Linked DNA regions of Arabidopsis thaliana. The protein of the gene in region 1 interacts with the protein of each later gene in a pairwise test. Each region holds a gene or a part of one and is shown on either strand. Other genes may lie near its edges.

The links.
Region 2: the proteins of ER (region 1) and KT2 interact in a protein complementation assay, tested with the Arabidopsis thaliana proteins (one large-scale study listed by BioGRID).

What each region holds. Positions count from the first base shown.
Region 1 is NC_003071.7:11,208,377-11,216,560, forward strand, and holds the start of ER (Leucine-rich receptor-like protein kinase family protein), read right to left. Parts: upstream 6,287-8,184; 5' UTR 5,520-6,286; coding exon 5,441-5,519; intron 5,095-5,440; coding exon 4,956-5,094; intron 4,855-4,955; coding exon 4,783-4,854; intron 4,679-4,782; coding exon 4,607-4,678; intron 4,516-4,606; coding exon 4,444-4,515; intron 4,354-4,443; coding exon 4,282-4,353; intron 4,204-4,281; coding exon 4,132-4,203; intron 4,056-4,131; coding exon 3,984-4,055; intron 3,901-3,983; coding exon 3,829-3,900; intron 3,736-3,828; coding exon 3,667-3,735; intron 3,582-3,666; coding exon 3,510-3,581; intron 3,434-3,509; coding exon 3,362-3,433; intron 3,274-3,361; coding exon 3,202-3,273; intron 3,113-3,201; coding exon 3,041-3,112; intron 2,973-3,040; coding exon 2,901-2,972; intron 2,814-2,900; coding exon 2,742-2,813; intron 2,616-2,741; coding exon 2,544-2,615; intron 2,462-2,543; coding exon 2,390-2,461; intron 2,304-2,389; coding exon 2,232-2,303; intron 2,146-2,231; and 15 more. Other genes in the region: AT2G26340 (uncharacterized protein), read left to right, coding at 6,878-7,106, 7,233-7,281, 7,383-7,453, 7,543-7,637, 7,725-7,783, 7,855-8,100. UniProt on the Arabidopsis thaliana protein: Receptor kinase that, together with ERL1 and ERL2, regulates aerial architecture, including inflorescence (e.g. shoot apical meristem-originating organ shape, elongation of the internode and pedicels, and adaxial-abaxial polarity), and stomatal patterning (e.g. density and clustering), probably by tuning cell division and expansion.
Region 2 is NC_003071.7:16,928,677-16,935,301, forward strand, and holds KT2 (potassium transporter 2), read left to right. Parts: upstream 1-1,878; 5' UTR 1,879-2,488; exon of another isoform or gene 2,489-2,736; 5' UTR 2,737-2,768; coding exon 2,769-2,813; intron 2,814-2,895; coding exon 2,896-3,130; intron 3,131-3,217; coding exon 3,218-3,463; intron 3,464-3,554; coding exon 3,555-3,608; intron 3,609-3,693; coding exon 3,694-3,954; intron 3,955-4,034; coding exon 4,035-4,087; intron 4,088-4,170; coding exon 4,171-4,288; intron 4,289-4,390; coding exon 4,391-4,645; intron 4,646-4,722; coding exon 4,723-5,840; 3' UTR 5,841-5,993; downstream 5,994-6,625. Other genes in the region: ETG1 (E2F target protein 1 (ETG1)), read left to right, coding at 6,251-6,418. UniProt on the Arabidopsis thaliana protein: Low-affinity potassium transporter. Could mediate the potassium-dependent cell expansion in growing tissues.

The DNA.
Region 1 (8,184 bases):
TTCTGAGAAATAACTTGTCCAAACCGAAGAAACAGTTGAGCATCAGAAGCACTCATGGAAGAGCAATTGACAGAATGAGGAGTCTTGAGATTTGCATACTCATCGACGTAGCACGAACCAGCCAGCGTCGCTGACGTGTCAGTCGCAGCAGGTGGTTGTTCCGATAGCATAAAACTGCCGAGAACACGAGTCACCTGGTGCATTGTGGGTCGATCATTCGGCTGTCTTTTGGTGCATAGGAGTGCCAGTTGGAAAACTTTCTTCACCACACCGAGATCTTTACACGTCGATGTGATGTCTGGATCTGCCATTTCCATCACTTCATTGTTCCCCGTCTTTGACATTATCTGATGTAAGTGAATCAATGAAAACAAGATTACGGACTTGACCTAAACAGAGCAGCTGAGAGAGATAGGCAAGAAAGAACAAACCAGATGGTGGAGATTGGATTCGTCATCAACGGCTTTCCTTCGGGTTAACAACTCAAGAAGGACTATTCCATAACTGTAGACATCGGATTTCTCAGTGAGCCGTGAAGTGCGAGCATACTCGGGGTCTATGTAACCTATCGTGCCCATCACGTAAGTTGAAGTATGTGACTTTGACACACACAAGCTTTTCGCTATTCCAAAATCTGTCAAACGAGCCTCTAAGTCTTTGTCCAAGAGAATGTTGGACGACTTCACGTCTCTGTGAATGATCCTTGGACTACAGTCATGGTGTAGATAAGCTAAACCTTGTGCTGCACCATATGCTATCTTAAGCCGTGTGTCCCAATCAAGAGTCTTTTTCTTCGTAGGGCCTTTACAAAACACACAAGCAAGTTGTTATGTCACAGAAGATTCAAATAATTTTCTATGTTTGGCGATGAGACTTACCATGAAGAAGATCCCAGAGGCTACCATTTTCCAAATAGTCATAGAACAGAAGACTCCCCAAGTGAGAGAGGGAATAAGCTTGTAGGCTCACAAGATTTCTGTGCTTGATGCTACTTAGCATCTCGAGTTCTGTTTCAAACTGTTTCATTGACTGTGGGTTGTGAGAGTAAAGCCGCTTAATCGCAACCGGTTTACAATTCTTCAAAACACATTTGTATACAGTGCTTGATGCTCCGTGCCCAATGATATACTTCTCACTTAGATTCTCTGTCATTCTCATGATATCCTCGTAAACGTGGAGTGCCATGTTCATATGAAGGATGACGAGCTTCGGTGTCGAATAAGTTACTGATGTCACCAGGAAATTTAAGGATTAACTATTGGATTACATTGTAGGTGAAGAACATTCGTAAAGTGGTTTGGAGAGTAGACCTGGTTTGTCAAGTGATCCATCAAGAAAAGGAGGAGGATTATGCGGTCGGCAAGCTGCTATTAAGACCATGAGAAGGATCACAAGTCCCCCAATAGCTATTCCAAGAATAGCTGCTCTAGAGATTGACACTGCAGACAAAACATGGATAGAAACATGAGCTTTAATTATCTTAGGTTTTGTGAATGGAAGCTTTTAGAAGAATGTAATCACCTCGTACAGTTCGACGAGAATCATGACACGGTGAGTTTAGCCAACTACCGCAAAGACCAGGATTGCCAATGAAGCTTTATCCAAAAACATAAACATAGATATTAGCAAACAAAACAAAATGCACAATACCAAAACCTGCTAAATTACCATACCTGTCTGGTGAAAATCTTGAGAAGTTATTGTTCTTAGGGATATCACCTACGAGGTTGTTATGAGATACATTCCTATAAGAGTTAGTGAAGATTGCAGGGTTATATTCTTAGCAAAAGATGCACAAAGAGGGACAAAAAATGTTTCAGAACCAAAGGTGCCTACTTACAATACAGTGAGACTGAGACAGTTGGCTAATGAACCAACATTACCAGTCAGGTTATTATTTTCCAGTCTCCTGCAAGCAATTTTAAGAAACACAACATTAGATAGATCACCAACCCAATACATGTTCCTGGATCACACTATAGTGACCTCATTATTGTGTATACAGAGTTTTAGTTTCATTCTACAAAAACAATTTCTTAACAGCTTGGAAGGGATAAGAGGAAGATTGCTTACAGCAAAATTATGTTCTGTAATTGGTTAAGCTCTTCTGGAATTGGGCCAGAGATATCATTATTTGAAAGATCTCTGCAACCACAAACACACAAATTCAGAACAGTAATTGAGATAAATGAAAAAAACTCTAACCAAGCAGATAGAAGTTAACTTCTTACATTTCCATGATGCTTCTTAGATTTCCAAAGTCGCCTGGAACTACACCAGTTATATGATTTCTACTCAAGTTCCTATAACAAGAATGCAAGAGTTCACAAACCATTTTCATCTTTTGCTAGAAATAAACAATAAAACTGGAGGTCTTATGGATGCTCACATCTTGAGAAGATGCTCCAAATCACCAAGGGAAGAAGGAATGATTCCATTTATCTTGTTGTTGGAAAGATCCCTTCAAATGTCATTAAATTTAATAAATGTGAGACAAGGCACATATAATGATGTATACTTCACAGAAAACAAGAAACACTTACAATGTATCTAAGTTACCGATACGAGATAGCTCAACCGGGATTGGACCTTTGATATTGTTGCTGGACAGATTACTGGTTGAACCGATAAATCAAAGGCAACCAAAAACTCAGTAGTTAATGACTTGAAATTCGAAAAAACAAACGCTGTGGAACTATATATTATATAAGATTAGAGAAATTCTCAGCGTCGATACTTACAGGTAAGTCATACTTTCTAGCTTTTGAAATGCTCGGGGTATAGTGCCACTAAACTTGTTCCCATGAACATTTCTACATTACATTAATGAGACACAAAATCATATAAAGCACCAATCTTGAACATTCAAGTGAGAAGTTTTCAGAGAAAGAGATACATACAAGCTGTTTAGATTTGTGCAAGAGCTCAGATGATCAGGTATAGGTCCTTCCAGATCATTGTTGGCCACATTCCTATATGTACATAGTTCATATAAGCATAAGAACATCAAAACATGTCAAGCATAGGAAGAACTACTTACAGATCAAACAAGTCAGTAAGCTTCCCAAGCTCTGGTGGTATATGACCCGTGAGATGATTATCATTGAGTTCCCTATGAATATTTTACAAATAGTTGATAAGGAAACACAACTTAGTAGTGACTGTATGCAAAAAGAGAAGTGAAGAGAAGGTTGGTCATACAGGTAATGGAGTTTTGACATGTTTCCAAGCTCAGGTGGAATTGAACCAGTCAGCTTGTTACTGTGCAAATACCTAGAGATAAAGCCAAAAAGATAAATCACTATCATTAACATGGTATGACATTTGACTCCAAACTGAAAACAAACAGGTAAAGAATTACAATTTCTCGGTGAAAGTAAGATTTCCGAGAATCGGAGGAATAGATCCACTCAACAAGTTGCCACTTAGATCTCTGTAAAAGAAAACATATAACCTAAGTTCATGAAAATGTTATAAGTAGCTTCATTGATTAGAAGAAAAGTACTTACAAGACTGCAAGGGCTTGCATGAGACCAATCACTGATGGAATCTTCCCAGAGAGTTGATTGCCTTGCAATGATCTAAGATAAGAAAATGATCTTCTTTAAAAGAAAACAAAGGCTAGCCAAAATTTAAAGCAAAAGATTAGTAGAGGTGAGAACTAACAATGTTGCAACTTGCAGGAAGCCGATGTCAAAAGGGATCTCACCAGTTAGCTGATTGTAGGACAAGTCCCTGAGTTCGTAATAAGCAAACCAGTTAAGTAGATTTTCTTAAGTAACCCAAATTACAGTAATGATGTTTAGAAGTAGAGAAAGAGGCACATACAAAACCTGGAAGGCAGTGCAATTTCCTATCGTCTCAGGTATACTACCAGTCAAACTGTTGTTTCTTACGTCACTGATTCAATATCAAAACAAAGTCAGATATTTGATATTTACAAAAGAACTCATCATACTATTCAGATGTGCAAGAAGACTCACAAATACCAAAGACCAGTCAGTTGACACAAATCTGGAGAAATGTTACCGACTAAGTTGTTTCCTCGCAACCCACTGCTCATCATAGTACAACAATTATCACCGGGTAATGAAGAGACATTGACAGACTTCAAAAAACATTGACACTTACAGATACTGAAGAACTTCATTCCAGTAAATAAGTCTTGGTATCTCACCACTGAGTTTATTCTGTGCCAAGTCCCTGCAATTGAAATTACACATGTATGATCACCTATATAGCTAAAAGTAGTAAGACATGTAAGAATCATGGGGAACATACAGAATTTTCAGGTTTGGAATCTGTGAAAGTGTTGAAGGGATCGGTCCTATCAATTGGTTATTCTTCAGAATCCTGGACAAAGTAAAAATCCATATTCCACATGGTGAGTATATTTTTAGCAATGACATATGAAGACTAGTAGCAGAATAACTAGCTACTTACAGCTGCTCAAGTTGCTTCAACTTCGAAATCGAAAACGGTATGTCACCACTTAATTCATTGAAGGATAAGTCTCTGAATAAAAAACAACATGAACACACTTCATCAAATAAAACCTCTATGAACAAAAGTTTAATGGTAGAATAACACCAATCACTGTTCTTACAAGTTTTGCAAAGAAGAACAGTCACCAATCTCATCAGGGATTTGTCCAGACAAGCGATTACCTCGCAGATCACTACATTAGAAAAAAACAGAAGACAAAAGTCACAACTCAGAGAGTGGAATAGAATTAAAGTAAGATACTTTATTTCATGCTACAGTGAATGTTGAAACAGTTACATTGACAAGAGACTCTTGAGATCTCCAATAGCAGGTGAGATTTCTCCATCAAGATTCAAATCTGACAAATTACTACAAAACATAGAAAACACACACAAAACAAATTACAACTTTTTCCCACAAGAACACCAAAAACCACTGTAATAGTAATCTAAAGGAATGAAGAAACTTACAGAGCAACAACATTGAAGGTGACATTTTCACAAGACACACCTCTCCAGACACAATAATCCGAAGAAGGTGAAGTTGTCCAGTCATAAAGAACATTGTTCACATCTTTGAATGACTTCTTAATCTCCAGCAACGTTGCTCCTTTAATTTTGTTTTAAGGATATTTTATTAACACACACGCACAAAAACAAAAAAAAATATTTGTCAGTTCTTGAGAAGATTAAAAATTCAACTTCCAAGAAAACAAAATAAAACTCAAACCCTAATTTATTCAAAGCTTCTTTTGATTCTATAGAAGACCCACCAAGTAAAAAAAAACCATTACAAAAAGCAAAAATAGAAAATAACAAGTACCCAGATCTCATTTTCACCAAATGAAACTTCAAAAATCATATAAAAATCTCATCTTTAAGTTTTTTTCACTAATATAAAACAAAAAGACGAAAATCTTGAACTTGAAGAAGCATGCATCAGTATAATAACTGACCCTCCTCTGAAGTCACAGTAGCTACTAAGCTCAAGCAGAAGAGAAACCCAAGAAGAACAATATCTCTAAACAGAGCCATTTCTCACACACAGTCTTAAAACGACTGCGTTTTTAGATATACTTTAAAAGCTTTCAAGTCTCCATGAAGAAGAAACAGAGGATAGAGAAGAAGAAGAGAACCGTATTATGTACCGACATTAGATTTTTTTTCTTTCTTTTATTATGATTTCTACAGAAATTTGTTTTTGTTTTTTTACTTTAACCGAGAAAAAATGATTTTTATCGTTCCATCACATCAAATTCTGGCGGAAATTTACAGTGGTTTCATTGAGTGCTCAGACGACAGAAATACAGAGTAAGATAGAGATGGAGAGAGAAAGAGAGAGAGTCTTTAAAGAGAGGAGATTGTACAAATGTAGGGACCTGTTGTGTAAGAGAGAGAGATGAAGGGAAGAAGAATTATTTGGGGAGGATAAAGTTAAAAACCCCATCATCTTTTATCTCTCTGCCAGAGTTCTGAAGCTTTGCAGAAGAGAGAGATAGAGTGAGTGAGAGGGAGTGATTTTGTTTCTCTCTCTTGAAGGGTAAAACGGTCATAAAATGTAGAAGAAGAAGGAGAAGAAGAACATGTTAATGGCAGTGGTGAATAAAGGAGGTCGCTTTCGTTGCCCAATACTTACGAGTCTTTGTCTCTCTGTGGCTTGTTTCACAGATGACCCATATCAATAAATCCATCTTATGGGTACTTTTGTAATTATGTATTTTTATATGATTTTAGTGTAATTTTTTTGTTTGCTTAACATGTTCTTCTTCATCTTCTTACTTCAATTACTAATTTAAATTCAGGAGTTTACAAAAAGTTTGGTTCAGTTTTCTCTTCTTTAATTATTAGTATAGTTGTTGTGTTTTTGTCAACGTTTTTTAGTATAGTGAACGTGTGATTTCTAAGTGTTTTTGTTTATTACTAAATTTAGAAATATGCATGCCAATGATTTTTGGTTTAGCATCAACACAAAACTTAATAAAATATGATTGGTTTTAGGATGTTAACCGGTTTGGTTGGCTCCGGTCGGTTTGTCACAAAATTAATATTTTGAAGCTTTGAGAACGAAGTGGACTAAAACTAAAAGGGTCACAGGCCCAACAAAAGAAGGAAGAACTTAAAAAATAATAATTCCTTTTCATTTTAACTTCTCTTTTTTTTTTTGTTAAATCATTTATTTGTTTCAATAAAAATACACATAATATTATCTTTTCTCAAAAAGTACTATATAGTTAGAAAACTACATATTTATTTTAACCCAAATTATTATTTTTCCATTCCTTACACACTGTACGTTACACTTTTTATTATCATTTGCTGTACAACGTTAATATTTTTAACCATTTCTGCAATTGTTTACCTCTTTTTCATCCGCAAATTTCTAATTAAATTATATGTTGAATGTTCATAGCCATAATAATAATTTGTCCAACGGAGATAAGACGCCTCTGGTGTTATCCCCAATGTCGTCACTCCACGCTACCGTGAGCCTCCCACTGTTCTCCAACTCAAACCACAAAAAGCTAACGTGCGCAGCTACATTATCACCTCCGCCATGGAAACAGAGCCGGCGAGTTATCTCCGTCTCCTTTTTTCTCTCCCGTCTCCTCCTCCTCCCTAACGGTACACGCATCTCTCTTCAAATTCACCAATCCGATTCTCAATTTCACGAACTCGATTTTCAATATCACCAATTCGACTTTTGTTCATTTCAAATTTGGTTATTTATATGTTGATGATGATGATCAGATGCTATGGCTGGTGGCTTAATGGATAAATTGGATAAATACGTCAAGAGGTAACATTAAATCGTCTCCGATGCTTATTCCTTTGAATTCTGAAGTTAGATTTTGAAATGTTTGGTGAATTATCTAAAACTTAAAACCAGTTATTGAATAGGAAGAAACTTGATCCACTTGAAGCATATGTACCACCAGTGATTCTAGCTCAGTTACAAATCCAGGATCTTGGTAAAATTTCTCTGTTTTTTTGTTACACATTTGTTCTTAAAACTCTTGCTATATAAAACTTACACTCATGTTTATTTATGATGTTGGAGAGGGATTTTTGAATGTGGAGAAACCTGAATTTGAGGCGTGTAGACGCCAATTGCGGTCTGGTCCTGCTAGCTCTCTTCGTGTAAACATTCGAGCTGTAAGTTTTTAAAGCTCACTTGATGTCACTCATTTGGTTTCTGTTTGATGATGAAATGTGTAATGCAAACTCTTTCAGGTTGCTCAGTATGCTTCAGATGATGGTTTCTCCAAAACCGCCACTGATGATGTTGATCGATGTTTAAGGTACCGACAATGTTTGAATGAATGATGATGACCTTTGCGTGTGTAATTTATGTTGGCTTTTCCTTCTATAGAGCATTGGAAGAACTGGATTCGTTGTTTCTACGTGCGTCGAGGAAAGATTCAAATGCAACTGTTGTATTGATGAAGTCACAGCTTGGAACAGCGTTAACCGCACTGGACAGTCTTCTACAAACAGTTCCTTCTCAAGTGCTTGATAAAGGGAAAGCTATGGTGGAAGTCTACAGATCAGCATCTGAAGAAGATGCGGGAAGTGATGATTTAGAATCCTCTGAGATAAAGCAGCTCCAGTCCATACTGTGAGAGGGGAGGTCACAGGACTATTACTATCCAAAAACAGTTGTTAATCTTACAGCATTGGTATCAAAAACTCTTCTGATTCA
Region 2 (6,625 bases), 5.7 Mb from region 1:
ATGTACGTTAATGAGTAAACACTAAATCACAGCATCCCATATCGCCAACTAAGAAACTCAATTATCTCCCAAGTAAATTTTACTTACCATCACCAATCTATCATCACTTGTTACCCATTTTACCAAGAAAAAACGAAAAGTTTCTTTCCCATAATATATATGCCGCCGATTGCCAAGAAAAACAAGATTTTCATTCCTAGATTGTGTTTGCGGGTAAACAATAAAAAGAAGAAGAAAATGGTCAATTGGTTAAGAAACTCTAATAAGTAAAAACAAAATGGTTTCGTGTAAGATCAATTCGAATTCATTTTTATTTTGGCAAAATTGCAAAAATTAATAAGAGTTGATAGTAGACGACAAACATTTTCTTGTACACTAATTACTGTAACAGTCACATTATTATAATGAAAGAGGGATTCAGCAATCCTAAAATATGATTTGTAATTTCATAATCATTAATTAAATCGCCCAATTTTGAACTTTTTAATCTTAAAACTTCGGAAAATGATTGGTCTATATTTGTGCCCAATATATATATATATATATATATATAAGTATAAATAATAAGTTCTATTCTTAAGAATCATTAGTATATCCTAAAACCTGCTTTTGGCAATCAAGAAAATAACTTGCAAAAAACCCATGGCGAACCTAATCTTCACTAAAACAGACTCCAGAAAAAGAGTGTTCCAAGCAAAATCTTGATGATATAAGAGACTCCAGAAAACAATCGTCTCTCTAGTGAGCTTCACATATCAACAGTGTATAAGTTTTTGACTAGCAAAAAACAAATATCGTTCACATTTGACTGATACATCATACACCAAACTGAAAAGACAGCATTCCCCAAATCACGTATAGAATCTTAAATCATATAAAATACATTTTGTTCTTTGCTTTGAAATATCAAATGTTAGTGTGATTTGTCGTCATGCAACGCATGCATATAATATTAATTTATTATTTGATTTGGTAATAAGTCTCTTTATACATGCATTGAATCCACCGACCAAGTCTACTATATGCTTTGAAAGTTTGAATTATATAATAATAGAAAAGATTGTTGTGAAGAGCAAGCTGAATCGATTTGGAGAATTGGATTCCGATCTGGTTTTATAATTGTTCGACTACAATAATGTCAAATGGGATAGCAAGAAAATAATGTATAAAGGTTGAAATTGCGCAACACCTAACAAAAGGGAGAGAAAGAAAACACCCCAAAAACAAAAAGGTAGAGGAAGAAACACATAAAAGAGGAGTGAAAGAGAAAGAAGCATAAAAAGAAAGGAATAGAAATAGAGCACCAATCAATGACTTCAAATTCAATTATTTCGAAACAAATTTTTAAATTTATAGATTACTAAAAATCAACAAACTTTTATAGAATAAATTTGTAAATCTATGATTCATTAGCTAAACAACTAATTTTTACACACTAAAACAATTCAGAGATGTGTACAAATAAAGACATGTGTTAAATAATAATAATTATTTGTAAAAAAATGAGATATAAAAAAGTAGATGCAACCAAATTTTTTAAAAAAAACCTTTAAAATGCCATAAAACCATTCTAAAAGTTTATAACTGTATATATAGATTTGTTATTAATTATTTTATATGTTGCTATTCATTTATTAAATATCATCTAGTTGTTCACCATAATCCATAATAGGGACAAAATCTTAAATACATTTCATATCAATTTTTTTCTTTCTTACAATCTGCCAAGTTAAAGAAATTCACAAATTATAAAAGAGAAATAATAAGGTAGTATTAAAAATTTAATACTAGTGACTATCAATAGATAGTAACAAATACTAATATAAGTATATATTAATTACGCGTTATATATACCTTTTAACAAAATATATTATTGTTGTTGACTGATACAGAGAGAAATAAAAAAAAAAACAGTTTCGATTTTTGTTATTGCAACAAAAAGTTTCGGAAAATAGAGAGAAAAGAGAGTGAGTGAGGTTGGTGATGACCAGATTTTGAGGCTTATCAATAGTACAAAGCTTGCAAAATCAATGGCGCAAATTCTGTTGGTAAGTATAAGAAAAAAAAGAAAAGCTTTTTCCTTTAGATGTCATGTAACTGTCGGGAGAGCACTCACGTGTTTCTGTCTCTTCACCTGTAAATATTCTCGCCACGTTTGCTCTCTTTCTTTTTTTCCCCGAGAAAACGCAAAGACAAAGACGTTTTTTTAATTTGGCTATAGCATGTGGAGGCTATGGGTTCTTATCTTGTATCGTCGTTCTTTGTCTTCAATATCTTTAATTCAATGATAAGCAGATCATCTCTTTCTTCACTCCTACACATCGATTCACGTCATCCACCCAGAAAAATTCATACTTCAATTAAAAATTCTGTAAGTGGAAAAAACACAGTTGGCAAAATGGGCAAAAGCTAATAATTGATTTATCTCCATTTATGGCTAAAAGCCTAACACTAGGCTCTACACTTTTCAAGTCTTTTCATTTTCTGGGTAATTGTTGTTCAATTTTAGAGATTTAGGGTTTTTGATTGTTCTTCTTTTTCTGGGTTTTATCTAAATTCGTGGATATGAGAATGGCATGTGCGTGAATGTGGCCTACTTTGTTTTCTTCCTTCTAATTTGGGAACAGAGTTTGGTTGTCCTATTTATTGTTACTTTGTAGGTTTCACTCTTTTCGACATTACTTTTCAATTGCTTCAGATTCATAAATCTATCTTCTTCTTTCTTTGGTTGTTCAGCTTTAGCGTGTTAGGCTGAACATTTAAGAACCATGGATCTCAATCTCGGAAAATGCTGTGGTTCTCGTTCTTCTAAGGTTTGTTGTCCATTTTCTTTTAGATTTGCTCAATTTTGGAATTTTGAGCTGAATAAAGATTGGAACTTTGACAATTATGCAGAAGGAATCATGGAGGTCGGTTTTGCTTCTTGCTTACCAGAGTCTTGGTGTTGTCTATGGAGACTTGAGTATCTCTCCGCTTTATGTCTTTAAGAGCACTTTTGCTGAGGACATTCAACATTCAGAGACCAATGAAGAGATCTACGGTGTTATGTCTTTTGTTTTCTGGACTTTAACTTTGGTTCCTTTGCTTAAGTATGTCTTCATTGTCCTCCGAGCTGATGATAACGGAGAAGGTGAGGGGAAGAGACACTTTCAGAGCAGAAAATCATCGAGAAACTTTATTTGCTTTGCTTATGAAGGTTTGTTACATTTGTTTTCAGGTGGAACTTTTGCTTTGTACTCATTGATCTGCCGTCATGTCAAAGTTAGCCTCCTCCCAAACCGACAAGTCTCTGATGAGGCACTGTCCACTTATAAGCTGGAGCATCCACCGGAGAAGAACCATGACTCGTGTGTGAAAAGATATCTGGAGAAACACAAGTGGTTACACACTGCTTTGCTGCTTCTTGTTCTTCTTGGGACTTGTATGGTTATTGGAGATGGACTTCTCACTCCAGCTATCTCCGGTATGTATGCTTCTGTGTTTGTAGACAGATATTCCAGTGTCCAATTGCTAGTTAAAAGAGTTTTCTAATCTTTTCTTTTTCTTGTATGTAGTTTTCTCTGCTGTGTCAGGTCTTGAGCTGAATATGTCTAAAGAACATCACCAATGTAAGTACACAAAGACTGGGTAGTGTTAGTTTTTGCTACTTGAGTTCTGATGAATGATGGCTTCCTTTGTTGTTCAAACGTGCAGATGCAGTAATTCCTATTACCTGCTTCATACTAGTCTGCCTTTTCTCGCTTCAGCATTTTGGGACACATCGTGTTGGGTTTGTTTTCGCGCCTATTGTCCTCACTTGGCTGCTCTGTATAAGTGGTATTGGCTTGTACAATATAATACAGTGGAATCCTCATATATACAAAGCTCTTTCTCCTACATACATGTTCATGTTCTTGAGAAAGACGAGAGTAAGCGGATGGATGTCTCTAGGCGGGATCTTGTTGTGCATAACTGGTGAGATATATAAGAAATCGATATTGTTAATGTCGCCATAAATAATGTCAGTAATCTAACTCGTTGAGTCTTTGTTTTAGGTGCTGAGGCCATGTTTGCTGATCTTGGTCACTTCAATTACGCAGCAATTCAGGTTAGTTTCTACTTTAGCTTGGATGATTTACTTATTGTTATATCGCCACAGGTTTCAATAAATCTTTGTTTTGTTTGCTGTAGATTGCGTTTACCTTCCTGGTTTATCCGGCTCTTATATTGGCATACATGGGGCAAGCTGCTTACTTATCCCGGCATCACCATTCTGCTCATGCAATTGGGTTTTACGTCTCTGTACCAAGTCAGTAATTTGCCTTACTTCAAGAACTCAATTTTTTTTTGGTGTTGATCATTGAAAACGTAATCTGATCTTTTGTTTATATAACTCCATGGTTTTGAACAGAATGTTTGCACTGGCCTGTGCTTGCTGTAGCAATTCTTGCTTCTGTTGTGGGAAGCCAAGCGATCATCAGTGGGACTTTCTCAATCATAAACCAGAGCCAGTCTCTCGGATGCTTCCCTCGAGTCAAAGTCATTCACACGTCCGATAAGATGCATGGTCAGATTTACATACCGGAGATTAACTGGATGCTCATGATTCTCTGCATCGCTGTTACTATCGGGTTTAGAGATGTCAAACACCTGGGAAATGCATCAGGTATGAGATTCTTTTATCAACTCAAGAATTTTGGATTCTTCGACTTTGAGATTATATTCCTTTGTGGTTGGTTGCAGGTTTGGCTGTAATGGCGGTTATGCTAGTGACAACATGTCTTACCTCATTAGTCATTGTTCTTTGCTGGCACAAGCCTCCAATTCTAGCGCTAGCGTTCCTTCTCTTTTTCGGTTCAATAGAACTTCTCTACTTCTCGGCCTCACTCACCAAATTTCGTGAAGGCGCTTGGCTTCCGATCCTCTTATCTCTAATATTCATGATCATCATGTTCGTTTGGCACTACACCACCATTAAGAAATACGAGTTTGATCTCCAGAATAAAGTCTCGCTTGAATGGCTTCTTGCATTGGGTCCAAGCCTCGGAATTTCTCGAGTTCCAGGTATCGGTTTAGTCTTCACGGATTTAACCTCTGGAATCCCCGCCAATTTCTCCCGGTTCGTCACCAACCTCCCTGCCTTCCACCGTGTTCTTGTCTTTGTCTGCGTGAAATCTGTCCCTGTCCCGTTCGTTCCACCTGCTGAGAGATACCTCGTGGGTCGTGTTGGTCCCGTTGACCACCGCTCTTACAGATGCATCGTTCGGTATGGATACCGTGACGTCCATCAAGACGTGGACTCATTCGAAACAGAGCTCGTAAGCAAGCTGGCGGATTTCATCCGTTACGATTGGCACAAAAGAACACAACAAGAAGACGACAACGCTCGTTCTGTCCAGTCCAACGAATCCTCAAGCGAGTCAAGACTAGCCGTGATCGGAACAGTAGCTTACGAGATCGAAGACAATCTCCAACCAGAGAGTGTCTCCATCGGATTCTCCACAGTCGAAAGCATGGAAGACGTCATACAAATGGCCGAACCAGCCCCAACCGCCACCATAAGACGGGTGAGGTTTGCGGTTGAGGAAAACAGTTACGAGGACGAAGGATCAACATCGTCAGCAGAAGCAGATGCGGAACTGAGAAGCGAGCTGAGGGATTTGCTGGCAGCGCAAGAAGCAGGAACTGCGTTTATATTGGGACATTCACATGTGAAAGCGAAACAAGGATCATCGGTGATGAAGAGATTAGCAGTTAATTTCGGTTATAATTTCTTGAGAAGGAACTGTAGAGGACCTGACGTGGCTCTTAAGGTTCCACCTGTTTCTCTTTTAGAAGTCGGCATGGTTTATGTTGTTTGACTTATGAAAAAACTAAATATATGAAAACCTAATTCCTCTGTTGTAAATTCGTCATGTTTAGCTTCATAGATCTCTGTTTCTGTGTTTGTGAGTCTGGGGTTTGACTTTTAACAAATCTTAAGACCAAGATGGTCAGAGGATCATATATGCCAAATGAATTAGTTTATTATACACATGAAACGACATCGTATGGAGAGGGGTCCAAAACGGTGCGTTGGAAGTTGGAGAATGGGCATGGATAATGGCGGGAATAACCTAGGAGATATGGCGGGAAAGGCCCAACTATACACACTTGACATTGCCCTTAATTCGTGTTTGAGCAAAGACTCAATCTTTCATCTCTAGATTCTTGGCGATTCTCGCTACATAGTACTTTGGTAAAGAGTGAAATCAAAGGTTGGTTTTGAGATATGGGAGGACCAGCTTACGATTGTCTGACCAACCCTTTAGGAGCCGTCCGATTCTCCTTCGTAAATGCTCTGTCTTCAGGCTACGATCCGGCTTCGTCTGTCGGAAAAGACTGGGGTGTCGTTGATTTGTTCCGTCACTACTTCTCCGACGAATCTGCTATCTCCCAGGTTTGCCCTAAAACCTTTACTCTGTTTCTATTTTTTTTTGGGTTTAGGGCAATTGAGTATGTTTTGATTAATTACTACCCAATTAGCATAATAGGTTGATTTTTTCGTGTACTTTGGCTCTGTTTCTAAGTAAATCAGCTTACTTTAGGTTTTAGTCTATCCATAGATTGGTTAATTTGGGTTTTTTCAAGGATCTGTTTTGAGATA